Lonchura striata: one gene and its partners. The protein of the gene in region 3 interacts with the protein of the main gene of each other region in a pairwise test. Links are inferred from orthologs where the notes say so. Each region holds a gene or a part of one and is shown on either strand. Other genes may lie near its edges.

The links.
Region 1: the proteins of USP2 (region 3) and HOMER3 interact in binary tests that used the Homo sapiens proteins (3 or more experiments, as listed by UniProt). The two-hybrid records come from large-scale screens. The link is inferred for Lonchura striata from reciprocal best matches to the Homo sapiens genes USP2 and HOMER3.
Region 2: the proteins of USP2 (region 3) and LHX4 interact in binary tests that used the Homo sapiens proteins (3 or more experiments, as listed by UniProt). The two-hybrid records come from large-scale screens. The link is inferred for Lonchura striata from reciprocal best matches to the Homo sapiens genes USP2 and LHX4.
Region 4: the proteins of USP2 (region 3) and NDEL1 interact in binary tests that used the Homo sapiens proteins (3 or more experiments, as listed by UniProt). The two-hybrid records come from large-scale screens. The link is inferred for Lonchura striata from reciprocal best matches to the Homo sapiens genes USP2 and NDEL1.

Annotation. Positions count from the first base shown.
Region 1 is NC_134630.1:7,419,497-7,426,838, forward strand, and holds the start of HOMER3 (homer protein homolog 3), read right to left. Parts: upstream 3,010-7,342; 5' UTR 2,556-3,009; intron 1-2,555. UniProt on the Homo sapiens protein: Postsynaptic density scaffolding protein. Binds and cross-links cytoplasmic regions of GRM1, GRM5, ITPR1, DNM3, RYR1, RYR2, SHANK1 and SHANK3.
Region 2 is NC_134611.1:2,296,773-2,304,144, forward strand, and holds the start of LHX4 (LIM/homeobox protein Lhx4), read right to left. Parts: upstream 3,009-7,372; 5' UTR 2,994-3,008; coding exon 2,918-2,993; intron 1-2,917. UniProt on the Homo sapiens protein: May play a critical role in the development of respiratory control mechanisms and in the normal growth and maturation of the lung. Binds preferentially to methylated DNA.
Region 3 is NC_134625.1:9,111,136-9,119,067, reverse strand, and holds the start of USP2 (ubiquitin carboxyl-terminal hydrolase 2), read right to left. Parts: upstream 3,001-7,932; 5' UTR 2,765-3,000; intron 1-2,764. Other genes in the region: THY1 (thy-1 membrane glycoprotein), read right to left, coding at 6,164-6,276, 6,840-7,175, 7,280-7,316. UniProt on the Homo sapiens protein: Hydrolase that deubiquitinates polyubiquitinated target proteins such as MDM2, MDM4 and CCND1. Isoform 1 and isoform 4 possess both ubiquitin-specific peptidase and isopeptidase activities.
Region 4 is NC_134621.1:1,235,516-1,242,736, forward strand, and holds the start of NDEL1 (nuclear distribution protein nudE-like 1), read right to left. Parts: upstream 3,017-7,221; 5' UTR 2,913-3,016; intron 1-2,912. UniProt on the Homo sapiens protein: Required for organization of the cellular microtubule array and microtubule anchoring at the centrosome. May regulate microtubule organization at least in part by targeting the microtubule severing protein KATNA1 to the centrosome.

The DNA of each region.
Region 1 (7,342 bases), on a different chromosome or scaffold from region 3:
TGCTGGAATTCCAGAGTTAGTTAAGTAAAGTCTGCTGGAATTCCAGAGTTATTTAAGGAAATTTTGCTGGAATTACAAAGTTAAGGAAAGTCTGCTGGAATTCCAGAGTTAGTTAAGGAAATTCTGCTGGAATTCCAGAGTTATTTAAGACAATCCTGCTGGAATTCCAGAGTTATTTAAGGAAATTTTGCTGGAATTACAAAGTTAAGGAAAGTCTGCTGGAATTCCAGAGTTAGTTAAGGAAATTCTGCTGGAATTCCAGAGTTATTTAAGGAAATGCTGCTGGAATTCTAAGGCATGGAAATTCTTCTGGAATTCCAGAGTTATTTAAGGAAATTCTGCTGGAATTCCAGAGTTATTTAAGGAAATTCTGCTGCTCAATATCCCCATGGGACCTCCAAGGCCACCCTTTAATCTCAGGAGTGAAATGGGAATTCAGGAATTTTGGGGTGGAACCGTCTGGCTGGGCAATGGTTTCTGCTGCCCCACCAGCGAGAATTCCAGATCATTCCAGGTACAGCAACAATTCCTGCATCCCAAATTTTCCTCCAGGCGGCTCCGGGGGTTTTCCAGCGACTTTGCAGATGGCAGGAGAAAACAGGGACACAGGGATTTCACCTGGATCAGCACATCCCCTGCCAGCTTCAAAGGCTTCTGCCAGCCTCACATTTCTGTCACTGCTGGTTCCTGCCTCATCGCTCCCTCTAGCTAGTCCAAAAATAACATTTTTTTTTTTTAAAAGGAAAAGGGAAAATTAAAAAAAAAAAAAAAAAGAGGAAAATAGGAAATTTATTAAAAAAAAAAAAAAAAAGGAAAAGGGAAAATTTTATCAAGGAAAACAGGAAAAAATCTTTAAAAGGAAAATAGAATTTTTTAAATAAGGAAAACAGAAAATAATAAAAAAAAACAATCCCGCTCCCAAAATCCCATTGCCAAAATCCCGCTCCCAAAATTATTCTCCTAAAATCCCACTGTCAAAATCCCACTCCCGAATTCCCTCTCCCAAAATCCCACTGCCAAAATCCCGCTCCCAAATTCCTTCTCCCAAAATCCCATTGCCAAAATCCTTCTCCCAAATTCCCTCTCCCAAAATCCCTCTCCCAAATTCCCTCTCCCAAAATCCCTCTCCCAAATTCCTTCTCCCAAAATCCCATTGCCAAAATCCTTCTCCCAAATTCCCTCTCCCAAAATCCCTCTCCCAAATTCCTTCTCCCAAAATCCCATTGCCAAAATCCTTCTCCCAAATTCCCTCTCCCAAAATCCCTCTCCCAAATTCCCTCTCCCAAAATCCCTCTCCCAAATTCCCTCTCTCAAATTCTCTCTCCCAAATTCCCTCTCCCAAATTCCCTCTCCCAAATTCCTTCTCCCAAATTCCCTCTCCCAAATTCCCTCTCCCAAATTGCTTCTCCCAAATTCCCTCTCCCAAATTCCCTCTCCCAAATTTCCGCTCCCAAATTCCCTCTCTCAAATTCCCTCTCCCAAATTCCTTTTCCCAAATTCCCTCTCCCAAATTGCTTCTCCCAAATTCCCTCTCCCAAATTCCCGCTCCCAAATTCCCTCTCCCAAATTCCCTCTCTCAAATTCCCTCTCCCAAAATCCCTCTCCCAAATTCCCTCTCTCAAATTCTCTCTCCCAAATTCCCTCTCCCAAATTCCCTCTCCCAAATTCCTTCTCCCAAATTCCCTCTCCCAAATTCCCTCTCCCAAATTCCTTCTCCCAAATTCCCTCTCCCAAATTCCCTCTCCCAAATTCCTTCTCCCAAATTCCCTCTCCCAAATTCCTTCTCCCAAATTCCCTCTCCCAAATTCCTTCTCCCAAATTCCCTCTCCCAAATTCCCTCTCCCCGGTTCCCGTCCCGGCAGAACCGCCTCGGCTCCATCTTCCCGCCCGCAGTCCCGAGGAATTCCCAATTTCCGAACTCCGGGAAGTTCCCGGCGCCGCCCGTGCACGAGTCGCGGCCGCTCGCCGTTCTCCGCTTCCCCGCCCCAAAAATTAAAGGCGAGGCGAAACTTTCCAGCTCGCAACGCGGCAAAAAAATAAAACCCCCAAAAAAGCGCCGATCAAGCCTTGAATTCGTGCCTGAGAAGCGGCTCCGGGCCGTGGGCACGGAGAGGAACGGGAACGGAGCCCGGCGAGGAACGGGAACGGAGCCCGGCGAGGAACGGGAACGGAGCCCGGCGAGGAACGGGAACGGAGAGCGGAGAGGAACGGGAACGGAGCCCGGCGAGGAACGGGAACGGAGCCCGGCGAGGAACGGGAACGGAGCCCGGCGAGGAACGGGAACGGAGCCCGGCGAGGAACGGGAACGGAGAGCGGAGAGGAACGGGAACGGAGCCCGGCGAGGAACGGGAACGGAGCCCGGCGAGGAACGGGAACGGAGAGCGGAGAGGAACGGGAACGGAGCCCGGCGAGGAACGGGAACGGAGAGCGGAGAGGAACGGGAACGGAGAGCGGAGAGGAACGGGAACGGAGAGCGGAGAGGAACGGGAACGGAGCCCGGCGAGGAACGGGAACGGAGCCCGGCGAGGAACGGGAACGGAGCCCGGCGGTCTCACCCCATCCCCGGCGGCCGCGATCCTCCCGCGCCGCCTCCTCCTCCTCCTTCTCCCCTTCCTCTTTCTTTCTGTCCTTCTCCGGATCCGGATGCTCTTTAAATTTCCTCCGGAATTTCACTTTGAAGCGTTGCTGCAGCTGCTGCTCCGCGGCTCCGGGAGCGGCTCCGGCACCGGGAGCGGTCCCGGGATCGGCACCGGGGAGTGGTGCTGGGAGTGGCACCGGGAGCGGTACCGGGAATGGATCCGGGAGCGGCTCCGGCACCGGGATCGGCACCAGCACCGGGGAGTGGTCCCGGGAGCGGCTCCGGCACCGGGAATAGCCCCGGGAGCGGTACCGGGAGCGGTACCGGGGTCGGCACCGGCACCGGGAGTGGCCCCGGGAGTGGCTCCGGCACCGGGAGCGGTACCGGGATCGGCACCAGCACCGGGGAGTGGTTCTGGGAGTGGCACCAGCACCGGGAGCGGTCCCGGGATGGGCACCGGCACCGGGAGCGGCCCCGGGCGCTCCGGGCTGTGCCCCGGCGCTTCTCCGCCCGCTGCCCGGTTCCGTCCGGCCCGGCAGGGAGCGGCCGGACGGAGCCGGTGCCTGTCCACGCCTTTTGTCCCCCCGCACCGGGCGTTCCCTCCGCGGGCACCGCGGCCCGGGCTCCGCGTTGCCCGGTCCCGCCGGTCCTGCCCGGTCCCGCCGCTCCCTACCCGCTCCCTGCCCGCTCCCGCCGCCCCATCCCGCTCACGTTTGGCCGCTTTTCTTCTCCCGACTTTATTCGCGGCGCCGGCAGCACCACCTGCCGGGACAGGAGCCCGGTGCCACCCCCGGGACGGCGGGGACAGCGGGGACAGGAGCCCGGTGCCACCCCCGGGACGGCGAGGACAGCGGGGACAGGAGCCCGGTGCCACCCCCGGGACAGCGGGGACAGGAGCCCGGTGCCACCCCCGGGACGGCGGGACAGGAGCCCGGTGCCACCCCCGGGACGGTGGGGACAGCGGGGACAGGAGCCCGGTGCCACCCCCGGGACAGCGGGGACGGCGGGGACAGGAGCCCGGTGCCACCCCCGGGACGGCGGGACAGGAGCCCGGTGCCACCCCCGGGGCGGCGGGGACAACGGGGACAGGAGCCCGGTGCCACCCCCGGGACAGCGGGGACAGGAGCCCGGTGCCACCCCCGGGACAGCGGGGACAGGAGCCCGGTGCCACCCCCGGGACAGCGGGGACAGAATCCTCGGGGTTCCCTGAGCCCCAAAACCCTCTGCCCCCCAAACCCCCTCACTCACCCCTGGAATCCAGAATTCCAGCCTGGCAGCACGAACATGAGTGAGAGAACCCCGGGTGTGATAATACTAACCTGGGTGTGATAACCCGGGTGTGGTAACACCAGTGATAACCCGGGTGTGATAACCCGGGTGTGATAATACCAGTGAAAACCCGGGTGTGATAACCTGGGTGTGATAACACCAGTGATAACCCGGGTGTGATAACCCGGGTGTGGTAACACCTGTGATAACCCAGGTGTGATAACCTGGGTGTGATAACCCGGGTGTGATAACCCGGGTGTGGTAACACCAGTGATAACCCAGGTGTGATAACCCGGGTGTGGTAACACCTGTGATAACCCAGGTGTGATAACCCGGGTGTGATAACCCGGGTGTGGTAACACCAGTGATAACCCAGGTGTGATAACCCCGGGTGTGGTAACACCAGTGATAACCCGGGTGTGATAACCCAGGTATGATAATACCAGTGATAACCCGGGTGTGATAACACCTGTGATAACCCAGGTGTGATAACCCCAGTGATAACCCGGGTGTGGTAATACTAACCTAGGCGTGATAACCCCGGGTGTGATAACACCTGTGATAACCTGGGTGTGATAACCCAGGTGTGATAATACCAGTGATAACCTGGGTGTGATAACCCCGGGTGTGATAACCTGGGTGTGATAACCCCGGGTGTGATAACCCCAGTGATAACCCGGGTGTGATAAAACCTGTGATAACCCCGGTGTGATAACCCAGGTGTGATAATACCAGTGAAAACCCGGGTGTGATAACCTGGGTGTGATAACACCAGTGATAACCCAGGTGTGATAACACCTGTGATAACCCAGGTGTGATAACCTGGGTGTGATAACCCGGGTGTGGTAATACTAACCTGGGTGTGATAACCCCGGTGTGATAATACCAGTGATAACCCAGGTGTGGTAATATCAATTCAGTATTTCAATTCAGGATTTCAATTCAGGATTTCAATTCAATATTTCAATTCAGGATTTCAATTCAGGATTTCAATTCAATATTTCAATTCAGGATTTCAATTTAGGATTTGAATGTAGGATTTAAATTTAGGATTTCAATTCAATATTTCCATTCAGGATTTCAATTCAGGATTTCAATTTAAACCGCTGAAATGCAAACTCCTGCAAGGATCGCCCATCTCTTCCAGGAGCAGAAAAATCTCCAATAAACACCAAAATCTGTCCCCAGCTGTTGCTTTTAAACCCAAAATTCCTTTTTTTTCCCCACACATGCTCGAAGTTCCCCTCCAGAACGGCCCCTGAGCCACTTTTCTGTGCGGCTTTACAGAAATTAATCCTGCAGCGCTAAAAATACCCCAAATTCACCTTCCACTTTCTGTTTAAAGCAGCTCATTAAAGCCTCCCCGTGCCCCTGGGGCTGCTGCTTTTCCAGGAAAATTGAAATTATTCCTCACTGGCCGGAGCCTTCCCCTCCATTTCCCCCCATTTTTTCTCCTTTTCCCTTTCTTTAGCTTCTCAAAAGGATTTTCCCCTGCTTTTTTTTTTTTTTTTTTTTGTCCTAATTCGACCTTTTCCACATCTCCCTCTGTCCAAAAATGTCATAAATCAAATTTCAACCGCTGAATTTATTTATTGCCGAGGTGAGGCCACGGCTCAGGGGGGAGAAGCTGAAATTTCAGCTTTTCTGAGCCACTTTTTCTTTTTTCCAAGTGAATTTTCCCTTTTCTTGGGTGGGAATTACCCTGAGTTGCTGCTCAGGAAAATCCCAGGACAGAAAGGCACAGGCAGCTCATTTCCCCCCATTTTTACAATTCTGAGAAAGCAGAAATTTGATTTTTATAATTTTCACATTATACTATATTATACTATATTTCATTCTATTATAATCACATTATATTTTACTATATGTTTATATTAATTATATATTACATTACATTATATATTAACTATATATTGTATTAATATTATCATAGTATATAATAATATATATAATATTATTATTAATATTTTATTATCCTATTTAATAATAAAGAAATATAATCGGGTTGTATTGAACAATAACTCCCAAAGCAGGAGTTACCACCCCAAGCCCAAAGCCAATATTTGTAATTTCTGACAAATAAATAATAAATAAACGTGATGAAAGAGAAATGAATACGTAATATAATAAATAAATAGAATGAAACGGAAATAAATGCATCCTAGAATAAATAAATGTAATGAAATAGAAATAAATAGATAATAAATAAATGGAATGAAAGAGAAATGAAGCTACCATAAATCAGCACAATTCAAGCTAATACAAGGAAGGTGCTGCAGCAAATCCTCCCCAGCCCAGCCAATTAGCCGGGATTAATTAGGCCGGGATTAATTGGGCCGGGTAATTAAAGCTCCCGGGAGGGCGGGGCCCGGCCTCGGGAGGGGACAGGGGACAGGGATGGGAGAGGGGACAAGGGACAAAGAGGAAATGGGGACAGGGAAGGGGACAGGGGAGAGGGGACAGGGATGGGGACAGAAAATGGGACAAGGAAGGGACAGAGAATGGGACAGGGATGGGAATGGGGACAAGGACAGGGATGAGGACGGGGACAGGATGGGACAGGGATGGGGACAGAAAATGGGACAAGGAAGGGACAGAGAATGGGACAGGGATGGGAATGGGGACAGGGACAGGGATGAGGACGGGGACAGGGGAGAGGGGACAGGGACAGAAAATGGGACAGGGATGGGAATGGGGACAGGGAAGGGGACAGGGATGGGGACGGGGACAAGGGACAAAGAGAGGAAATGGGGACAGGGATGGGGACAGGGACAGGGATGGGAATGGGGACAGGGGAGAGAGGACAAGGAACAGAAAATGGGACAAGAAAGGGACAGGGGACAGGGATGAGAGAGGGGACAAGGGACAAAGAGGAAATGGGGACAGGGATGGGGACAGGGGAGAGGGGACAGGGATGGGGACAGAAAATGGGACAAGGAAGGGACAGAGAATGGGACAGGGATGGGAATGGGGACAGGGAAGGGGACAAGGATGGGGAGGGGACAAGGGACAAAGAGAGGAAATGGGGACAGGGAAGGGGACAGGGACAGGGGAGAGGGATGGGGACAGGGATGGGGACGGGGACAGGGGAGAGGGGACAGGGACAGAAAATAGGACAAGAAAGGGAGAAGGGACAGGGATGAGGACAGAGGAGAGGGGACAAGGGACAGAGATGGGGACAGGGACAGGGACAGGGATGGGGACAGGAGGGGACAGGGACAGAAAATGGGACAAGAAAGGGACAGGGACAGTGAGGAGGACAGAGAGGGGACAAGGGACAGGGATGGGGACAAGGGACAGAGATGGGGACAGGGACAGGGACAGGGACAGGGACAGGGACAGGGATGGGACAGGGACAGGGACAGGGACACGGCTGGAGCCACCTGGGGTGGCAGGAATTGTCCCCAGGTTGTTCCCAGTGTGTCCCCAGAGATGTCCCCAAGCTCTCCCCACGGTGTCCCAAGGATGTCCCCAAGGTGTCCCCAAAGTGTCCCC
Region 2 (7,372 bases), on a different chromosome or scaffold from region 3:
AAAGAAATATCGATCGAAACGAAACAAACTGGCCGGTGGCCTCAGGAATCGCTCAGAGCGCAAAAACCCCTCGGAAAGGAGCGGGGGGAGATGCGGGGGCAGCGCCGGGGGGATGCGCTCCCCGCCGGGCCCCGCGGGGCACGAACACCCCCGGCCCCGGGGCTGCGCTCGGCTCCTGCTCGGGGAGGGGACGGAGCCCCCGGTGCTGCGGGATCGGGGCCCGGGAGTGCGGGGGGAAAGCGGAGCACCGAGGCGGGATCGGGCCCGGGAGTGCGGGGGGAAAGCGGAGCACCGAGGCGGGATCGGGCCCGGGAGTGCGGGGGGAAAGCGGAGCACCGAGGCGGGCCGGGCCGCCGGACCGGAGCCTGCACCGAGCCCGAGCAAAGCACCGCTCCGGGGATTCCTCCCGAAGTCTTGCTGCGGGGAGGAAACCTCATTCCTTCGCATGCAAAAACCTTCCGATTCATTTCTCTGCTGCGGGCAAACGACTTTCTCGGCGGCGATTAATCACTGCCCCAGCTCCAGCCCCTTGGCCAGCGCCTGCCGGCAGCCGGGCACTGTTCCCGCAGGCTTTGGCACAAGTTTTGACTCCGGTGAGATTTGCAAAACAATATTCATAAATAATATTCGGAATTTTATTTTTAACAATCCCGTCTGCAAGGCTAAGCAAGGCCTTTCGGGTGGGGGGGAGGGAGGATGGTGGAGGGAGACTTCTCACCTCCCCAAAATCCTGCAGAAAAAGATGCTGTAGGACACAGCCGCTGCTAAAATAATGAGGCTGGTGGCTAAAGGGAGAGGAAAAAATGCGATTTAATAGCGATTAAAAATTAAAATGCCACGGATTTTCCTCTCACACACGATGAAATATCGAGGTGCTGCTGGGGGCTGGGGGGAGACCCTGGATCCTTCTTGGGAAGGGGTTCCCTGCCCAGGGACAGTTTCCTTTGGCTCGAAGGGGGCTGAGTTTTGTGTCACTGAGGCAGGATCAGGCCCCAGATCTATCACGACATGAAAGCAGGTGATTGGGAGCTGGCAGCGGCCTCAGGGCTCAGGCTGGGGCAGCGGGGAAACCACAGAAGGATGATTTTCAGCAGCCCAGCCTCATCTATTTTCTTTCTGCCATTTTATTTGTGCATAAATAAGTATAATAGTGATAATAATAATAATTATTAATAATAATAGCATTAATAGAAAAACAAATAGCAATAATAATAATAATAATAATAATAATAATAATAATAATAATAATTTAATCTCGTTGATTATTTCCTGCTAATTCTTGATATCCATCAGTCAGTACACGCATGACAATGTCAGGGGCAAGGGAATTTGGTAGCCCGAGGAGGGCCAGATCAGGGAACTATGCTGGGGCAATGCTGCTCCACGGTGGTTTGGGCATCTCATTTTTTTTCCTAAATCGAGGGATTCCGAGGCCATAGGAGTGACCCAGCGACCCGGAATCGGCGGCGTGACTCGGGATACGGTACTGGGACAAACCCCACGTGTCCCGGTCCCTGTCCCTGCACCGGCTCTGTGCTCCTGACCGCGATTTTATTTCCCCCCTTGTTGCGGTGAAATTGGTTAAACGGGGTCCTCCTGTTCAACCCTCCCGCAGCTCGGCAAAGGGATCGAACCGAGGGATAACGGCGACAGATCCCCCAAAGAGCCGCGGGAAGAGGCACCACCGAAAAACCCAGGGAAAACGAATCCCAGCCGCCCGGGGGGCCGGGGCCCCGTGCGGGGCACGGAACGGCGCGGGGGCTCCGCGGGGCGGCGGCCGGAGGCGGGGGAAACCTGTCCCGGAGCGGACACCCCGTGCCCCCCGTGTCCCCCCGTGCGGCCGGACCCCGGCCGGGCTGTCCCGCACCTCGGGCCCGTCGCGCCCCTCCTCTCAACTTTCTCGGCGCCGCTGTGGGGGGGTCGAGCATCGCCCTCTTGGCCCCGGTGGGGTCCCCCCCATTCCGGGAGCGCGGCGACGCCCCGGTCTCGGGAACGGTTTGCAAACGGAAGAAATGATAATAATAACAAAAATATCAACGAGAATAACAACAGCAGCAACACCCGCGCAGGTGGCCGCCGCGGAGGCCCCCCCGCAGGGCGCACCGGGGCACGGCCGTGCCCCACCATCCAAAGGGGGCATCCGTAGTGCCCACGGGATGCCCCCGCGCGGGGCTCGGCCCTGTGAGGGGCTGGCAGCCCCTGTGGCTCACTCACAGCTCGGGGCCAGCATCCCCCCTCGGGGTGCACCATCCCCAGCGGGCTCCATCCACCCGTGCCCGCACCCCCACGCCGTGCCTGTGCGCACCCCCACGGACACGCTACCTGTAGCTGCAGGGCCACAGACGCGCACACAGACACGCAGGTGATTTTTGGACAGACGCGGCATCGCTCCGGGGGCAGCGCGGCGCCCGGCCGGGCTCTCCATCCCGGTACCGCTCACGCACGGCCCTGAGCCCCTTCCCACCGCCGCCGCTCGCCGCCTGTCGCGATAAACGATATAAGCGCGGAGTCGTGCGCTGCGGGTCGGCGATGCGCGGGGCGGGCGGGGGCCGGGGCCGCACACACACACACACACACACACACACACACACACACACACACACACTCACACACACACACTCTCACACTCGAATTCACGCTCACACACGCACAGCCGGAGCCGCGCCGTCCTCCCCGTCGGGGCCAGGCCCGCATCGCTCCGCTACCCGCCCGCCCCGGGGCACCTCTCTCCCTTCCGCACCCGCCGCATTTTCGCGTCCGTGACCGGCGCTACACGCCGGGGAAAATAAACACAAAGTGCAGAACCGGGAGCGAACGGGAGCGGAGGCACCTGCCCACCCGCAGGGCGCTGCCCCGCCGGCCCGGGGCCGCCTTTGCGGCAGGGAGCGAAGGAGGGAGAAGAGAAAAGCGTCCTTACGTTGCACCGGCACACCGAGGATCTCGGGAAGCCCCTTGACAGCCCCTTCGGCAGCGAGCGCAGAGCTTTGCATCATTTTATTGGCCCGGGGGGCGGCGGAGGGGAGAGAAGAGGGGCGGGAGAGCCGCGGGCCGGGCCGGCGGAGGCCGGCGGCGGGAGGTGCCGTGTCCCGGTGCCGTGTCCCGGTGCCGAGTCCCGGTGCCGTGTCCCGGTGCCGGTGCCCGCCGGTGCCGCCCGCCTCCCATTCATTCCCCTGCGGGGAGCGCGCCTGACGTCACCGCCCGCAGGGGGGCGGGGGCGGGCCGGGCCCCCCGCAGCCAATCAGCGCCCGCTCCGCGCCGCCGGGGGCGGGGCCTGGGCCGAGGGGGCGGGGCCTGCGCGGAAGGGGCGGGGCCGGGCCGGCGGTGGCGCTGGGGACAGGGGGACAGGGGGACAGGGGGACAGGGAGGGACAGGGGGACAGGGGGACAGGGGGACAGGGGGACAGGGAGGGACGGCCCCAAGGCCGCTCCGCTCCCGGGACTCAGGGCCCTTCTCCCGCTCCGTGGAAGGCGCTGGCCTCAGGCACAGCCCCTGCCCTGTCCCTCCTGCCGCCGGGAATGGAGCCTTAGCCAAGGGCCGCTTCCCCGGCTCCGCAGGACAGCGGCACATCCCGCACCAACACGAGCTGTCGCCCAGCTGCTGTCACCCCGCCGTGACACGCTCTGCTTCCACAGGGCGTGTAACACATCCCTGGGCCCATCCCATGGTGCCTCCCCGGGGACACACCGAGTCGGCAGCGCTGCGGCGTGCCCAGCCCGACAGCCCCGGGCCGCGGTGGCACAAGGTGGCAATGCTGAAGTCACAGCGCAAAGGTGGCTACGGCCTCCATGAGCATCCCCGTGGGGCTCTGCTGAGGGAAAGCCCTGAGACAACGCAGCCCCCGCCACTGATGTGGCTGTACCTGGCGGCCACGGGCCGAGCAAGGAAACTCACCGAAATGGAGCTGAAGTTAGGGGGGGTGCCCCCAGCATCAACCTTCCCGATGGTCACCGTGTCACCAGCTCGGGGACAGCGGTACCAAACAGCCCCGACGTGCTGGGCCATCCCGCTCTGCTTAGAGAGCAGGGGGAGGCTCCCGAGGTGGCACACGGCAGCTTCTGGCAGGTGAGGGAAGATGCTCACCCAGCCAAGAGCATGGCCACCCTCAGCTCAGGTGCTCCCATGCCAAGCCTTCGTTTCTACACTGCTAGGAAGAGGATTTTCCCACCTGAAAAATCCTGAAACCCTGCTCCGTCAGAAAATGTGCAGATGGGACAAGCCAGCATCTGGAAAAAAAATGTTTAAAAATAAAAGCAATAAACCCTAAAAAATGTATTAAGACTGATGGTTCCTTAGGAAAAAAATTAAGTTTTTCTATGAGATGCTGGGGTTTGACCCCCTCAAAGCTCCATTTTTACCAGCAAACCCCCGTCCTCCTCACATGGCAGCTCTGTGCAGAGACCGGTGTGCGCTCATACCGGAGTGAGCTCCACCCTGCAGCTCACCGAACGCCATAATCTGCTTCCCATCACAGGGAGGTGAATCCCAACCCCTCCCATCCCATCCCGTCCCATCCCCTAAATCACGCTGCAGCTCTTAAGTGCATTAAGCACGGCCAGACCCCCGTCGCCCCCGGCCACCTGCGCTCCGCAGCCCCTTGGGGAGGGGGCCCCCGTGCCCCCCCAGTCGCCAGCCAGCCACAGCGGGGCCCCAGCGCACAGAAAGGCAGGTCCCTAAGGCAGATTTACGGGAGAAGTTTAGCCGGACGAGCGGACAGAGGGACAGACGGACCCTGCCCCATCGCTGCCCTGTCCTGCTGCTTTGCATTTCCAACCTATTTCCCTAATTATTCCAGCGCTGCTGGGAGTCACCGCGCTCTCCCAGCTCTCTGGCACGCTCTGATTTATCTCTCAGCCGGGATAACAGCTCCCTCCACCCCCTTCTCCTCGGAGAATTCAATTTTCATTCATTTTTCTGCTTTGCCAGATTGATCCAGCCCCCTCTGCCCTGCACTGGATCACTCATGGAAGTGGTGAGCGGGCAAAAGGAGCCACCCAGCACCGAGCCTTCACCTTGGGGAAGCCGGGGGAGAGGCAGGGATTCGGGGGGCTGCCACCACCAAAAAAACCACCCCACCAGCATCTTCCTGTGCTCGCTCACACATCTTCCCAGCAGCGCCTTCATCCCTTCCTCTCCTTGGTAGCACGGCTTTGTTCCCCTCCATCCTTCCTGCTGTCCATCTGTTCCTTATGTTGGTGGAGATCTCTTGGTCTCTTTAGGGATTTTTTAGATCACTTTGGGCTTCCTGGTCTCTTTTGAGTTTGTTTTTCCCATGTCACAGGAAGGAGAGGGCGGTTCAGATGGGCATGAGGTTCTTGCCCAGTAAATCCTCTCTGTGCCACTCAAAACGCTGCTGGGTGCTGGTGGTGCCCAGAGAGAGTGGGTTATATGTGGTGGGTGTGAAATGTTCCCCCTCCAGGCTTTCTCCTCCACCCAGAGCTAAATCAGAGCTATGGCTCATGGTGACCATCCTGCAGAAGGGTGAATGTCGATTTTCATCAGGTTGCATTTCTGGGGCACTTTTGGGGGGCTCTGGCCCCACACAGATGCCCTGCTCCTTCCTTGGCATTGCCTGGAGCCCTCCGGCCCTGCAGCCAGAGGAAGACACGAGCAGCGTGAGGAGATGATGCAAAACCCACAGACGAGCAGGGATGCTGCTCCCACACCTTCCCTGCTGGGATTCATCGTTAATAAAATGCAGGTAAATCCCAGAGCCTGTGACAAAACACAGAGCCAGCCTCCCCGTGTGTGCCCCAGCCCTGGGCACATTAGAATTAGGGTTGGTTTGGACACTGTGGCACCGAGGGGGACATCAGTGCATTGTCCCCTGGTGCAACAAGGGGGTTTCTAGGCAGAACTGGGGAGATGTAAAGCAATATAAGGAAATATAAGGAAAACTGGAAACTATAAGGTCCTGACTCATGCCTGGGGGCTGCGAGTGCAGTTCTGTCCCAGTCAGCAAACCCCAAACAGATTTGGAGGTGCCAGGGAGCTGAGGCTTTGTGCCACTCATGCAGAGAGTTTGCCCGGTGCCAGCCCAGCTCCGAGTCCCCTCATGTGACAAAACCTGCTCCTCCAGACCAAAGTGGGGACATCCTTGCAAGTCCAAAGCTGCCACAGCTTCATGCCCTTTTGGCATGAGGCCACCTCCCCCCTGGGCAGCATCGGCCGTAGTACCCCGAGCCCCCCCAGATAAATAATCTGAATTATCCCAATAATTACCCCCTCCCGTTTCCATCCCTACTGCAGGACCGGCCTGGAGCGAGGACAAGCACATCGAGAGAGAGCCGGGTACTCACCAGCAGCCAGGGAAAGCCTCTCCCCTCGCAGGCAGGGGCGTTGCTAATTGTAATTGAAAATTAATCGGCGCTCAGCGGACCCCCGGTGATTTTATGGCTGCGGCGCGTGTGGAGACGGGATGCCGGTGGAGAAAGGCTCTTCCCTGTGCCGAGCAGGGAAAGGGAAGTCGGGCAGGGCTGGAAGGAGCGAGCACTGAAGGGGTGGGAAGGTGGCTGGGTGTGCGGGGGGCTGGCCACCGGCCTGGAGGAAAATTAAATTGCACTTGAGGGTAAATTGTATTAGGGAATAGCGGCCGCCCCGCGGCAGCCTGCGGCCATTTGGGTAATTAGCCCCAGGGACCCCCAGGCTCGTGGCAGTGCCGGGAAGGGGTGACCCCATCAGGGTCCATCAGGGAGGGCAGCTCGGGGGCTTGGGCTGGGTCCCCAGGACAGCCTGTGCCACCTGCGAGTGTGGCCACAGCAGCTTGCTGCTCCCGCTCTGCAGGGCTCAGGGGGGACCTGTCCCCAAATCATCCCGAGATGGGGACAGAGCGTGGGGGACACTCCGAGCCCTGCAGCAGCCCCGCTGTGCCCTGCACTGGGGCTCCCCAGGTGTTGCAGGGGGACACCCCGGTGCCACAGGTCGGGAGAGCCGGGGCCGGGCGGATTGCGACTCCACCAAACAGGATTACGGAAAGTCTATTTACGAGACTCTCTGTTTCCTGCGCGCACAGCGGCTTTAGGCTGCGGGCCCGGCGGAGATGCTAATCTGGGCATCCCGCTAACCCCCTTCCGGCAGCGCCCACCTCCCCAGCCCTAATCCCCTCTCCCTCCACCTGCTGCACCCCCTGCCCACCCCACCGGCATATTTTGGGGCTGAGGTGACCACGGGCAGCCCCACATCGCGATCCCTCGGTCCCACACAGGGGAGCAGCTGGCGAGGGGGGGGTTATTGATGTTGGGGGTGAACCCCCCAGGGAAATCAAGGAGAAGAAGGCAGCAGGGCTGCAGCGATGAGACCTTCCCCATCCATCACCCGGCGGTGGGCAGGGCCGGCACCCGGCTCGGGGGAGCCAGCCCCGCTCCGTGCTGGGACG
Region 3 (7,932 bases):
GGGACAGAGGTCCCAGAGCACACACAGAGCCAACCCAGAGCAGGGATGGCAGCGTGGCAGCCAGCAGTCCCCAAACACGGGCTGTCAGGAGAGTTTGCCCTCAGTGCCCATGCCGGCACTGATGGCTGGATCCCTACCTGTGCTGGGGCTGTGGGTGGCACTGGGGCAGGCAGCACCCAGGCGAGCTCCTCTGCCCCGGCGCTGCTGGTGCTCAGCTCCCGGGGTGACTGGTGTCCCTTCCCTGGCAGGACAGTGGCTCATGTGGCTCCGAGAGTCTCCAGTCACCCGGGAGATGACCCTGATTCAAAGGCTTTTCCCAGCCCAGCCGGGGCGGGCTCTGGCCCGGCTCCAAGCCGGGAGGTGCCGGAGCCTGTGCCTGGCCCGTCCCTTGCAGCACCGAGGGTGCCACCGGGGCTTGGGGACGAGGCACGAGGAGCCACCGCGGGTCACCGCCTGCCTGGCCCTGCGGGGACACAGCCTCCTGCTCCGAGCCCCGCGGGCTCCGCGTGGAAACGCCCCGGGAATGCTTCAGGGAGGGGCGGTGAGGGACGGCAGCAGCCCCCGTGGGCTCCCACGGGCAGCCTGGCTCTGTCCCGGCCGCTGCTGCTGCTGCCCAGGGAGCAGCCGTCCCACCGCGGACAGGGAAATATTTACAAGCAGCAGCGAGGTGGAGCGCACAGACCTGTTTGGGGACGGAGGCTGAAGGGTGAATAATCTGCTCCCGGGCACGGGAGCCACGGAACACCTGGCTCTTCCCAGCCTGGCTGCGGCCGCCCTCACCAGGAGCGGGGCTCTGCCAGTCGGCATTTGACACGGACAGGGAGTGGGACCCCAGCCAGGAGACTGGCATTGAGTGCCAGGATGGGAGTGACGGAGCCCCTGGGCTCCCAGGGAGCACATGCCTGGCTGCCTGCCCTGCTGGGGCACGGAGCAGCCTGGCACAGGGACTGCCCCTACTCCCCATCCTCGTCGCCAGCAGAGATGATCTTGGCTTGGGACAGTGCCAGGAGAGCCCCATGCCATCATCCCCTGCCAGGTGCCCACGCTCTCTCCTGGCACCGGCAGTGCCAGGAGAGCACAAGTTTGGGAGCAGGAGGGCAGCAGGTGCTCCTGGCAGCAGGACAGGTCTCCACAGGGCAGCACCTGCCCTGGGGATGCGGAGCAGCCGATGGAGGGATGCAGGGTCAGGAGCGGGCACCGGCCCCGGCCACGGGAGCTATCCCATTCCTTGGGAAGAGAGGCCTTACCATGGAGGAATGTCACATCTGCCAGGCTTGCCTGTGCTTCCAGGTCCCCATGTCACATCCGAGCGGACCCCAGGGCGGTGGGAGAGCACAGCGTGCCAGGAGCCAGAGGAGCTGAGGGGGTGTGAGAAAACCCCGGTTCCTCCCAGCGCTTCCTGGGCTGCCTGGCCCCTCCCTACCCGTCATTGTGCTGAGCTTTCCTGCTGCCTGGCAAAGCCCTGGGGCCAGCACGGCTGAGTCAGGCCGCCTGCACCCTCATCATCCTCCCGGGCTGTCAGGGGAAGCTGAGGCACAGGAATGTCCGGTCTGCGCTCACGGGCCCGGCGGGAGCGGTGCCACCACACGGGAGCGGGACACACGGGGCTGCTCGGGGCGCTGGGGAGTCCTGCCCTGCCCTCCCTGGGAATCTCAGCTCAAAGTGAGGAGGCAAAACCCTCACTCTGAGGCAGAAAAGCAGAGGCCTGCTCTGTCCCCAGCTGCCGTCCTGCCCGTGCCCGGTGGCAGGTGTCCCCTCTGTCCTGCCCGTGCCCGGTGGCAGCTGTCCCCCTCGGTGGCCACGGAGCCCCAGAGCGGGCTCGGCTCAGCTTACACAGCGCTGGCTCCATCCAAGGTGTCACAGCACAGCTGCTTCTCGCTTACGCAGGCTCAGAGCCGTCCCCTGAGACACAATGTCCCGGCCTGAGGTTACGTGGGGGCTCCCGGGACTCTGCCGTGGTGGAGGCAGAGAGGGGACCCTGTGTGAGGCACTTTGCACGCTCCAGAGTACAAGTGCTTTGGGGCTGAGGGGCTCTGTGTCCAGCTGAGCGAGGTGGGACAGCCTCCTGCCCATTCCCCAAGGGAAACAAGGCACAGAATCCCTCCAGGTATCCATTTCCCTCTAGGAAGGCTGACCCCGAGCAGCCCTGGAGGGAATGAGCCACAAAATGTTTGCTCCCTGGAGGGGACAGGAGTGACCCTTTCGACAGATGGGGACTGCAGTGCCTCTGGCACAGCCTGGCTCCTGCGTTCCCCACCACTCCCACCCCACAAAGTGACAAGCCCTGCCCAAGGTGACTCACCCAGCCTGGCCAGGGTCCTTCCCCTGCCAGCCCTGGGCCTGAGGAACCCCCAGGCTCACCCCACACAGCCGGGAGTCACCACCCTGGCCCCGCTCCCTGCTGCTGACCCATCCCCACCCTGCTGCAGAGCCTGCTGCTGCTGCTCCCGGGCCACCCCCCAGGCAGCAAAACCCCAAACCCACGGGGGACCCTGACGTAAGACCCAGGGCATGAATTACTGCTTTGAGTCTGTGCGTGCCAAAAAAAAGAAGGGACCCTCGGGCAGGAGGCTCTGCCCACGCTGGGGAACGAGGAGGGTGCCGGGGAGGGTGGCTCAAAGGCAGGATTTTGTGTGTGAACTCAGAACCTTCTCCCTGGAGAGAAACCTCTCCCCCGGGCTGTTATCCGGCTGCAGGAAGAGCGGGACAGTTTTGTCTGTCTCCGTGTCCCCCTCCCCGGGGCCGTGTCCCCACCTGCACTCACCTGCATGTGGCACGGGTGGCCGATGGCTGCTCAGGACACGGCGAGGGGTGACCAGCCAGGCATTCGGTGATGCCCTCGGCGCTGGTCCTGCCTCCTTGGGGAGCTTGCCCCGGCACCGGAGATGGGCAGCAGCCGAACCCTTCGCAGGGGACAGGACGCCCCCGGCTCAGCCCCTCCACGCTGGGAGGGAGCGCAGTGGCCGGAGGGGGCCGAGCCCGAGGGCTGTGGGGCCACGTAAAAACACCACCGCAGAAATTCAGGGCTCGGGTTACCAGGCAGATAAATATAGTGTCTTTATCTGACCTCACAGGGCGCTGAAATGCTCCTCTCGCATTCCAGCTTGGGGAGGCTTAAAGGGGACGCGAGCCCGGGTGGGCTGGTGGCCCTCGGCAAGGGGGTGCTGCCAGGGGAGGCTGCGGGGGCTGTGCGGGGTGGAGCAGGACTAAGGGTAAGCGTGAGGGACGGAGAGATTTGGGGAGGCAGGTCGAGGTCCAGGAGGCGAAGGATAGAGGGAGGGTTAAGGGAGGGAGCGGTGGTGGGAACACCGCTTGGTGCGTGTGGGGCAGGGAGGCACAAAAAGGGGCGTTGGTGGCTGCCAGCAAGGTTTGGAGTAGAGCATCAGGGTGAGGGGAGGAGCTGGACTGGGTTTTGCCCCCCCCTGGGATGAGCTGTAGGGAGAAGAGCCCACTAAACCTTCAGCAAAGGTGGGTGTGGGGCAGCTGGCGTGGCGTGGCCGCCCCTCGTGGATCCATGGGGACGCCTGACCCGCCCAGGCTACGGCACCTGCGTGGCCGTGACTCAGCGAGCACCTGCCGAGGATAATGGGGAGGGATGTAATTAGGGTGGCATCTTCCTCCCTCCCTCCCTCTGGCTCCAGCCCTTAAACAGGGAGGGGCGCGTCGGGGCGTCACTCTGGGAGGTGGCGCAGGGTCACCAATGGTGTCAGGGGGTGGTGGCTGAGTCCTGCTGGTGGCTCCTGGTGCCAGGGTGGCATCTTGACGCTGGGCAGGGCAGTGTATGGCTGCTGCAAAGGACATGAGAGGCCTTGGCAGCCCCCAGGCAGTGTGTGGGCACAGGAGCTCCAGCAGGACCCTGGTGTGATGGGCACAGGAGCCCCAGCAGGACCCTGGTGTGATGGGCACAGGAGCCCCAGCAGGACCCACGTGTGATGGGCACAGGAGCTTTGGGACATGTGCACACCCAGCCCCGCTCCCATGGCCACTTCCATCCCTGGCAATTCCCTCCCCAGAGGATGGAGGGGCCAGGGCCAGACCTGGTCCCCTGCTGTGCCTCCCTGCCACCATGGTGTCTGGGATGGAGCTGGGGGTTTAGGGACGGGGATGGGGACAAAGGGTCTGGGAGCAGGGGGCCTCACTCCAGATGGGCAGGAGGGGGTTGCCCTGCCCAGGGAAGCCACATCTTGCCCCTCTGCCTGCTCCTCTCCCACAGACATTGGGGTGCTGGAGGCACATGGGGGTTGCCTGGGGGGCTGTGCCCCTCAGCAGGGTCCTGGTGCCCAGCCCCACACAGCCCTCATCCCCAGTGCCACACACACGGCGCCCGTGGCTCCAACACAGAACCTAGGTAGGGTTTTATTGTGCAGACAGAGAAACACTCCTTGGATGGTAAGGTGGTCTTTTTTTTCTTGTTGCTTTTCATAGGGTTCTTTTTTTTCCTTTTTTTTTTTCCCCTTTTCCCTTAACAGAATTTCTTTGACGACAAGCTGTGGAAATAACTACAAATGTTCACAAAAAAATGAGACTCGAGCCGCGTCCGCGCTCTGCCGTTGGGCTTTGCGCCTGCCCCGGCGCTCACCAGTACGCCCAGGGAGCTGGGCACAGCCAGGCCTCAGCTGGGCACGGCCTCAGCAGCACTAGACAGCAAGCAAGCAGGCAGGGATGGGCAGGGGATGGGCACGGGGGTAGGAAGCAGCTCTGGAGAGGAGCAAGGAGTGGGGAGCAGCTGCTGTGTATTGCTCTCAGCCGTGGTGGCACAGCCCGGGCTGCACGGGTGGCACAGCTGGATGCTCCTGCCTCTTCCTTTCCCTGTGCCCTCCCCTGGGTGAGGCTCCTCGGGGTCCCGTGGGCAGCCCTGGGCTGGCAGATCTGAGCTGTGCTGGCCATCCCTGTCCCTGCTCTCGCCAACCCCTGGCACCATCCTGGCCTTGCTGAGGTTGTGGGCTGCCCTTCGGTCCTTTGCTGCTCTTAAAGGGAGACGGGGAAATGCTGAAAGGGAGGAGGGAGAGGGGAGGGGGCACACGGGCTCCTCCCAGGAGCACAGTGGGATTTGAGGAAGACTGCTCTGCCTCTCCATGAGGAAGGGCTGGGGATAGCTCCAGATGTTCCCTTCGGGAAGACAAAGTGCCCCTACAGAGGAGTCCCTGCAGAGACCTTGGGGTCACGCTCCCAGAGGGGAACCCCCTCCTCACCAGCCAGCCCGGGCACAGCTCTGAGGGCTTGGGGAGGGCAGTGGGGCTGTGGCTAGCTCAGAGAGGCTCTGCTTGCCTCCACTGGTGCTGGCAGCAATTCTCTCGTCACAGCTAAGGGCTGGTCCCTGGGGAGAGCGAGTGGTGTCTCTGGCTTGGGCAGCCCAAAGGTACCAGATGGTGTCTGGAGGAGGCCTCACTTCCAGCTCAGCTGTAAGAAATAGATTAGGAAAAACTTGTTGCCGAAGCACATTTGCACTGAGCCCGTTCCCAGGGTCCCAGAGGAGCCCTAAGGAGGCAGGGGGGGTTCATGGTGTCTCCTAGACCTGCTCCCCTCTCTCCTCCCAGCCTGCCAGGCCCAGCAGCGTCCCATGGCTCCCCATTCACTGAGTCATTCTGTGCCCTCTCCCAGCCGTGGCAGCTCAGGGTGAGAGGAGCAGGGTGAGGCAGGCAGGGCGGGTGGGGACACCAAGAGCCCTGTCACCTCCAGGGGCCACGGGCGCAGCACCCACCACGGGCACCCTCCGCACGCTCTCGCATCACCCCCCTCTCTTACCTGCCAATCCAGCTGTCTTTCCCCAGTTGAGAACAGGCAAACCCCAAGAGTTAAAGGGATGGGACAAGCGAGGCTGAGGCCTCCAGTGCTCCCAGCACAAGCAAACCAGCCAGCCTACGGAGCGGGGAGGAGCGATGGGAGAAGCAACGCTGCCTAGCAGAGCCACCATGCTTCGGAGCGGGGCGCGTGTGCGTGGGATGGTGGGCCTCGGCACGGGACGGTGGTTAGCGTAAATATACGGCTAAATAGAGATAACACAGAGAGGTTTCACGGCTTCCAGACGCTTCAGCTTCTCTTTCCAGGGGCTGCGAGGAAGGCGGGGTGGCTGGGGTGCTCGGTGTGTGCGTGCGTGTGTGTGCGAGCGCTGTGAGTGTGTGTGTGTGTGTGTGTGTGTGTGTGTGTGTGTGCGTTTCGCCTTTCACAGGGACACGAAGTCCACGGCTTGCAGGAGAGGCAGGGAAAGGAGCAGCAGCAGGAGCCACGAGGTGTTCTGGATCAAGAGGCTGAAGCCGGCGCATTTCTCCAGTTTGTCTGTGAGGAGAAGGAATGGGGAGGGAGAGAAGAGAGGCCATGAAATCCCTCGGGAATGGGGCTCAGGCTGGGAGTTCTAAGGGTACAGGAACACAGCTTTGTGCTTTTGCTCTGTCACAGAAGTGCAGCACATCCCATCCTGGCCTGTTTCCCTCCCAATGGAGGGAATGTAGTAGCAAAGACTTTTTGGGACCCTGAGAAGCATAACCCTGCCTGTGCCTGACTGAGGTGACAAGTGGGTGGGCACCAGGTGAGACAAGGGTCTCTTAGCCCCTTTCTGGAGGACAGATCCTGTGGGCTGTAGGTGTGGAGGATCCCCACTGTCCTCTCCATGGGAGGATATCAAGGCAATGTGCCTGAAGTGGGACTCAAGAGAGGCAGGAAAAGTGGTGTGAGATGGAGTAGAGTGAACCCATCTGTGAGACGAAGCGCACCTGAATGATTGGGACACATTTATAGATCCTCCCTGAGGATCCACAGGGAGTTGTGGTGCTCTCTGCTGGCCCTGCCAAGCCAAGGAGCAGGTGGGAAGGGCTGAGGCCAGGTGCCACTGCCTGTCTCACCTTTGATAACAGTGATGTTCTTTATCTGGTTGCCGGTGTAGTCGTTGGTGGCCTTCAGCTCGCACATGTAGATGCCCTCATCGCTGGTGGTGAAGCTCTGCAGGTGGAGGCACACCAGGTTCTTGTGCATGGTGACGTTGGCTCGGCTCCGGTAGATGTTCTCGGAGACGCTGATGGTGCTGTGGATGACGTGCTTCCTGTTGTCCTTGGTGATGCTGAACTCGTAGGTCAGGGGGTTGTCGGTTTTGTTCTCATAGCGACAGTCCACGCGCAGGTTCTGGCCCAGCAGGCAGGCACTCAGGTCCTTGATCATCTGGCAGTGGGCGGCCTGGAGGACTGGGAGAGGCAGGAAGGGGTTGGACAGGGATCAGCGAGCTTTGGGGGTGCCCGTGCAGCCTCCAGGCTGCTCTGGGCCGAGCAGGGAGCAGGGAGGGATGTACCTGTCAGGATGACAGCGATGCCCACGGTGGGGTTCATCTCGCTGCTGAGGTGCCTGGTGGGGGCTGTCTCTGAGAGGGGAACCTGGGCAGGGGGAGAGAGAGGCAGTTAGCCAGGCCACTGCCCCATGGGTGTGGGCACTCGGTGGTGCAGGCTGCCCTTCTTGCACAGACAATGCTCTGGCGTCTGCTCCTCGTCACCAGCGTCTGATTCACTGCACAGAGCCTGGCTGGCACTGCACCCAGCTGGGGAACCAGGCACTGCGTTTCTGCCCAGCATCATCTTTGCACTTCCCCATCCACACTTTGTTTTCCCTGTCCAGATCTCCCCAGCAGACATTAAATGAGCATAGCCAGACCCGCAGCAAGGCCTGCCTGTCCCCTGTCCAGCCTTCTCCCCCTTTTGCCCTATGGCCAGCCAAGGTTCAGAAAGGTGAAACCAGGCTGCACCCCAGTGCCTGCACACCTTGACCAGAGGTCTGTGGCTCACGGCGAGGGGCTACCAGCTGAGGGACCCTCTTTGGGGGCTGGTGGGCGCCTGCCCTGCCAGCCCTCCCACAGCTCCAGCGGGTGAGCTCAGCAAGGATGAGTCATTGCAATGCAGTGAGGGAAAGGGGCCAAGAGCAGCGAGGAAGAGGGACACAGCAGCTGGACAG
Region 4 (7,221 bases), on a different chromosome or scaffold from region 3:
CACACCCTGAGCAGTGCCAGGGCATCCCAGGCAGCAGCAGTGCCCAGCCTGGCAGGGACACCTGCACCAGGGACAGCTCCAGGTCCCCCAGGTCACCCCAGCAATCCAAAGCATCCCGATGACAGCACCTCCTGGCAAGGCAGTGGCCAGAGGGTGACACACTTCTGACACCACACAGTGACCCAGGAATTCCAAGGGGAGAGCACTCAGCAGGGATTTCTGCCACAAGGACTGAATTCTGCTGCTTTTACAGCTCTGAAGTTCTACCAGTGCTGGGGGGGTAAAATGGATTTGAAAAATACCCCCCAAAATAGATCACAGACCAGCCCCCAGCAGAGAGAGGTTCTGAACAGAATATTAAACAGAATGTTAACAGAATATTAAAAATAACCCCCTAATCTCTGTGTTGATTAGGAGAAGGAACCAGCACAACCTTCCACTGAGTTCTGGGGACAGAAGAACCCTCGAGGGGCACAAGCACATCATGAAAAATCTGCTCTGGTGGGTCTGGCTTTGTCTGGGGGTGAGGGCAGCACAGCAGAGCAGGCAGTTTGTGAACACACTCCCCACTTTATCTTGATTCTGTTTGTGGTGCCACAGACATCAAGGGCTGCAAAAATACCATTTCCTTTCTGCAGTCTGACTTTCCTGGCACCTCAAAAAACCAACTGTAATGCTCTGAGGGCATGCACTGTGCTTTGCTGCTGTGCTTCCTGGCAGTCTGCTGCCAGCAGCGTCTCCAGACAAGATTCCTTGTGACACCAAGGTCACAGACATCATCAGCCCCGTGCTTTCTCTCCACTTTCCTATTTTCCTTTCTCTTCTCCGTCCTCCACCAAACGAGGAATTATCTTACGAATCTGCAAACTCTAAAGAGTCAGGGGGAAAAAAGGGAGGGTTTTCCCCTGAGGAGGAAGGAAGGCAACTCAAACACTGACTCAAACACTGCCCCTGAACACTTCCTTCACTTCTGGGACTCCCAGTGACAAGTTTAATTAAATTATTAAACCTTCTCACCAGGGCTGTGCCTCCACATATACAACAATACAGAAATGCACAGCCCAGCCAGGAAACAGGACAGGGGATCTCTTCTAGGGCAGAGCTAACACTATTAATGCCAGATCCACACTCCTTACCCAGCTCTGCCACAGTTAACTGGCACCATCAGCCAGCCTGCCTGTGCAGTCACGCTGCAAACACGTCAAACTGGCATTTAAATAAATAAATATAGAAGCACAGAATTATTCATGTTGGAAAAGACCTCTGAGATCATCAAGTCAACCTCTGACTAATCACCACCTTGTCAACCAGACCAGGGCAATGAGTGCCACATCCCAGGAGCTCCTTGAACACCTCCAGGGATGGATGGATGGGGTCTCCACCACCTTTTCATATCTAAAAGCTTCCCAGTCTCTTTTCTGCCTTGGGACAGCTTCTTCCTCTTACAGTTGCTGATATCTCTAACAAAACACTGACCTTGGAAAGGCCACCAGCTCTCAGCAGGAACAATTCCTTCCTCAACAAGGAATTATTTCTTTGTGGGGGGTGGGGTTTGGAAAAAAATGTAAAGGAAGAAAAAAAAATTTTCTGAAGTATCCAAGGAACTCTTCTGTAGCAATTTCTTGTGTTTAACCACCTCTCAGGCAACAAATGCCAGAGGCATCCAGACCCTGCACTTGTGAGCAAGTCAAGGCAGGGAGAAGAGAGAAACCCTGAGTCACTCCCAGCACAGAGCGGGCTGTGGGTAGGAGAGAACCCTGCAGGGATGTGCCGGTGGGAGAGGAGAACCCTGCTCCTCCCGGGAGGGACAGGGATGTGCCGGTGGGAGAGGAGAACCCTGCTCCTCCCGGGAGGGACAGGGATGTGCCGGTGGGAGAGGAGAACCCTGCTCCTCCCGGGAGGGACAGGGATGTGCCGGTGGGTCACCGGGCAGGCTGGGCAGTGTCGCTGCTCTCTCCCAGCGCATCCTTCCCGCACGTCGGCTGCAATTCGGGTCACGCTCACCGGGCACGGGCTGCTGGGGCTGGGCACGCCCGGACACAGCGCACAGGGCTCCCAGCAAGGCCAGGCACCGCCGAGAGGAACCCTCGCGGAATTACCGACTGAATTGCCGGTGGAATTACCGACGGAATTCCTGACAAACCCCCCGGGAGCGCAGAGGGCCAGGGCAGGGCAGGACCCGGAGGCCAGCGGTCCCAGCTGGGAGCGAACAGCCCCGGTCCCCGAGCAGGGCACCGAGCTCCCCCGGCCCGCCCGTCACATCCAGGGGTGACGACTGCACCGCCACCTCCCTGCCCGCTCCCGACCCCAGCACCAGCTCCGGCAGGAATTTCCTCCCGGAAAAGACGCTGTGCCCCGGGCGGAGCATCCAGCAACAGAGGCGGACCACGCGGCCAGCTCCAGTGCCGGGAAAACGCCCGGGCGGGGGGCGAGGCCGGCAGAGCGGCGGGCAGGGCCCGGGACACCCCCGAGCCCCGGAGCGGCCCCGAGCCCCGGGACAGCCCCGAGCCACGGTGCAGCTCCCAGCCCCGGTGCGGCCCCGAGCCACGCTGCAGCCCCGGTGCGGCCCCGAGCCCCGGTGCGGCCCCGGTGCGGCCCCGGTGCAGCCCCGGTGCGGCCCCGAGCCCCGGTGCGGCCGGGCCGGCCCCGCTCCCGGCGGCGCGGAGGGGCCAGGGCGGCGGCCGAGCGGGGCCGCGCCGTGACTGACACCGCGCGCAGCCAATGGGAGGCGGCGGCGGCGCAGCCGCGGCCAATGGCGCGCCGGGGGCGGGCCGTGCCCCGTTGTCAATTGGCAGCCAATGGCGGCGCCCCCGGCCCGCCGCCCGCCCGGCCCGCGCCCCCCGCCCGCCGCGCCGGGCCCCGCTGGCCGGGCCCGCCCGGTGCCCCCGCCCGGCCCCGGGCCCGCCGCTCACCGCAGCGCATCCCCTGCCACAGCCGCCGCCGCGCGCGCCCGCCGGGGCCGCCTCATCCGGGGACTGGGGGGCGAGGCCGGCGCGTGATGCAAGAGCCGGCGGGGGCGGGGGCACCGGCGTCACACCGGGCGGGGCCTGGATGGTGCCCGGTGCCGGTGCCCGGTGGCCAGCGCCGGTGGCCGATGCTCGGTCTCGGTGCCCGGTGCCGGTGCCCGCTGCCCGCTGCCCCTGCCCGGTCTCGGTCTCGGTCTCGGTCTCGGTTCCGGTGCCCGGTGCCGGTGCCGGTCCCCGTTTCGCACGGCGAGGGGATCCCCCCGTGCTCGCCCCCACCCCGCCGGCCGCCCCCGGGGTGAGGTGGTCCCGCCCTCCTCCTTTGCAGCCTTCGGGAACTGCCCCCTGCCCGTTCTCTGCCGCTCTGTCCCCGGTGACCCCGGCGGGGGCACACCAGGCACGGGCATGGACACGGGCCCTGCCTCGGGGTCCCGGACATCCATCCCTCGGGGTCCCGGACATCCATCCCTCGGGGTCCCGGACATCCATCCCTCGGGATCCCGGACATCCACCCCTCGGGGTCCCGGACATCCACCCCTCGGGATCCCGGACTCCATCCCTGGGGATCCCGGACATCCATCCCTCGGGGTCCCGGACATCCATCCCTCGGGGTCCCGGACATCCATCCCTCGGGATCCCGGACATCCACCCCTCGGGGTCCCGGACTCCATCCCTGGGGATCCCGGACTCCATCCCTCGGGGTCACGGACATCCATCCCTCGGGGTCCCGGACTCCATCCCTCGGGGTCCCGGACTCCATCCCTCGGGATCCCGGACTCCACCCCTCGGGGTCCCGGACATCCATCCCTCGGGATCCCGGACTCCACCCCTCGGGGTCACGGACATCCATCCCTCGGGGTCCCGGACTCCATCCCCCAGCCCGCGCTCCTCGCGCCTGTTTCCCCCGGGAGCGCCGCTCTGCCTCGGAGCCTCCTCCGGCAGCCGGCGGCGGGCAGCGGCCGGGCCCAGGCGGGGCTGCGCTCCCCGGGGTGCGGGAGGTGCGGGATGCGCTCCCAGCGGTGTGGGCTGCGTTCCCAGGGGTGCGGGATGCGTTCCCCGGGGTGCGGGATGCGTTCCCAGGGGTGCGGGATGCGTTCCCCGGGGTGCGGGATGCGTTCCCAGGGGTGCGGGATGCGTTCCCAGGGGTGCGGGAGGCGCTCCCAGCAGTGCGGGATGCATTCCCAGGGGTGCGGGATGCATTCCCAGGGGTGCGGGATGCGTTCCCAGGGGTGCGGGATGCGTTCCCAGGGGTGCGGGAGGCGTTCCCCGGGGTGCGGGATGCATTCCCAGGGGTGCGGGAGGCGTTCCCAGGGGTGCGGGATGCGTTCCCCGGGGTGCGGGATGCATTCCCAGGGGTGCGGGAGCTGTTCCCAGGGGTGCGGGCTCCGTTCCCAGGGGTGCGGGCTCCGTTCCCCGGGCTGCGGGAGGCGTTCCCCGGGGTGCGGGCTGCCTGCCCGGTTAACAGCGCTCTGGGGGATGCTCGCTCGGAGGTGGCCCCGCTGTCCCTTTGTGTGCGGGGCTGTTCCCACGCGGCCGCCGCGGGCCGGGCGCTGCGGGCAGCACAAAGGAGCCGTCGCTCAGCATTAGCGGCCGCACAAAGCGGCTCCTGCCGCAGCCTCCGCCGGCCGCCCCCCCAAACCCGCCCCGAGCGACCCCCGGGAGACGCGGGCTGCGGCCAAAAAGGGTGCGGGAGGAGCTGCGGGCGGCCCGCAGTGCGTGGGGGCCAGGGAGGGTTTGCGGGCACTGCTGCGGAGACCCAGGGGGCAGACAGGGCGGGTGAGGGGCTCCGGGCAGGGCTTATGGGCTGGGAATTGCGGATCCACTCGTGCGGCCCCTCAAGATGCGGCTGCAGCTGGGGATGAGCGAGGAGAGGCGGCTGGGAAGGTCGGGCAGGGGGAAATCGGCGCTGGGGCTGCTGTTCGGGGAAGAGGGGCGATTTGCTCGTTAATCTCCGTCTCGGAGGGTTGTCCAAGGCCGTGGAATCCAAACTGTGCCCAAGCCGCACCTCCTCACCAGCCCAGAGCACTGAGTGCCACCTCCAGGTGTTCCTCGGGCACCTGCAGGGGTGGTGGTGCCACCGCTTCCCTGAGCCTCCTGCTCCAATCCCTGACCACCCTCCCAGGGCAGAAATCCTTCCTGATGTCCCTTATTTTGACTGCAGGATAAATATAAATAGAACTATAAACATAAAACTATAAATAAATATAAATACAATCATAAATAACTGTAACTATAACTATAACTAAACTATAACTATAACTACAACTATATAACTAGAACTAGAACTAGAACTAAAACTAGAACTAGAACTAGAACTAGAAATAGAAATAGAAATAGAAATAGAAATAGAAATAGAAATAGAAATAGAAATAGAAATAGAAATATATTCTTCCCTTATTTTGACTGCAGACTCAATATATAAATATAAATATATACAAATATATTTTCCTTATTTCTATTAATAGAAATATAAATATCCTTCCCTTATTCTGACTGCAGGCAGCCAAATGCAGAGCGGAGCCCGTGGGACAGAGCCCTCCTGCCCTCTGCCACCCTGTGCTGAGCATCCTCCTGCCCAGAACCCACCTGGGCTGGCAGCGGAGTGACCCTGGAGGGGCTGCAGCAGCTCTGCCCGCAAACTCTGCACTCACAGCACTGTGTTTTCAGATGATTGGAAATACCATTAAATGTTGGGTATTCGGTATTATTGAGCTTTTCTTTCTGTGCTGCTGCGGGCTGAGAAGCTGCCCTGCGCGTGTTCCCGTTAGAGGCAGGAGCATCTCTGCAATCCCAGCCCTGCAGGAGCCGGGCTGGAAGGAAAAACCCAAACCTTGACACCCCTGGGCAGCCACGGGGAGCATCCCGCTTGGGCAAAAGGCTCCAAACCCCAATCCCAGTGGGTTTTCTGCTGGAACTGTGGGGTTTCTACACCTTCCCTGCTGGCAGGAGGCTGGAGGGAGCTGCCTGGCGGGAGGGCAGCCAGGGGGAGGCGGGCAGTGCCTGGGGACACCGGGACACCGCGTCCCTGGGGTGGCAGCGCTGGCTTGCCAGGGTCACAGGGGCAGTGCCAGGCTCTCCTCGGGCTGCTGTGAGTCCCACCGGGGCTGGGTGGGCACCGGGGCACGGTGACAAGCAAGGGGACAATCGGGCCGTGCTCCCCCTCGATCTGCTGCCCCCCATCCCGACCCCGGGGAGGGGCTGCAGGGTCTGGGGCTGGGCAGGACCCCCGGGCTGTTTGGGGTTACATCAGGGTTTGGGTCACAGGCAGCTGTTTGGGGGCACATCCAGCTGTTTGGGGTCACAGCCAGCTGTTCCTTGTGTGGGATAAGCATTCGCCCCATGGAGGAAGAGCAGGTCCCCTCGATGCCGGTGGCAGGGGCGGCTGCTGGGGACTGTCCCCCTCACCTGGGCACCCTCCAGCGCTCCCTGCTCGGCTCCCCGGTGCCAGAGCCCGTCCGAGAGCACCATCTCCTGGGCACGGCGGAACCCCCGCAGGAGAAGCTGAGCCGGAGCTCTCCCTGCGCATTTTGGGCTGCCTGGGCTGCAGGGGGGTCCGCCTGGTGGGCTCCATCCTGCCGGGTGCCTGAGGAGCAGAATGGACACCCCCAGCAGGAAAAAAACGCTGATTTCCCCACTGGAATTCAAGCAAAGCAAGAGTGGGGGAAGATGGGTGAGCTTGTGCTCCTTTTGAAAAGCTCGGATTCCCCTGAAGTTGTCCAGCTTTTCCAGCTGTTTGAGTTTATTTTGACAGCATGGAAGTGGATAGAACCTAGGGCCCAGAACTCTTGGGCCTTCCACCAGCACAGTGCAGCCCTGGAAAATTAATTTTGCTTCACAGAACTTCTTCTTTAGCTGGGAATTTCCCCCTGGGCTGGGCTCAAACATGGATTTACTCTTTCCTGCCTTCACCGCATTCCCAGCTGGGGCTGGGACGGGTGGGAGGAGAATGAGTCGAGCAGAAACTCCTGTGAAACCTCAGCTTTGCAGCTTGAACACGGCCAGGGGAAAGGCTGGGGGGTTTGGGAGGACTGGCTGTGAGCTGGGAGGGATGGGGCAGGCAGCAGGCACCCCCAGAGGGATGGGAAAGGCGTGGTGGGGGAAGGATGGAGGAGAGAGAGGAGGGGCAGCCTGCCCTCCCCTCTGCGAGCAGCCCTGCCCACACGGGGACACGGGACAGGGACAGCAGCCACCCTCGCATGGAGCATTTTTGGCTCTGGGACAGGAGGGCAGGGGAGCCCTCAGCAGCTTTTGGGGATCA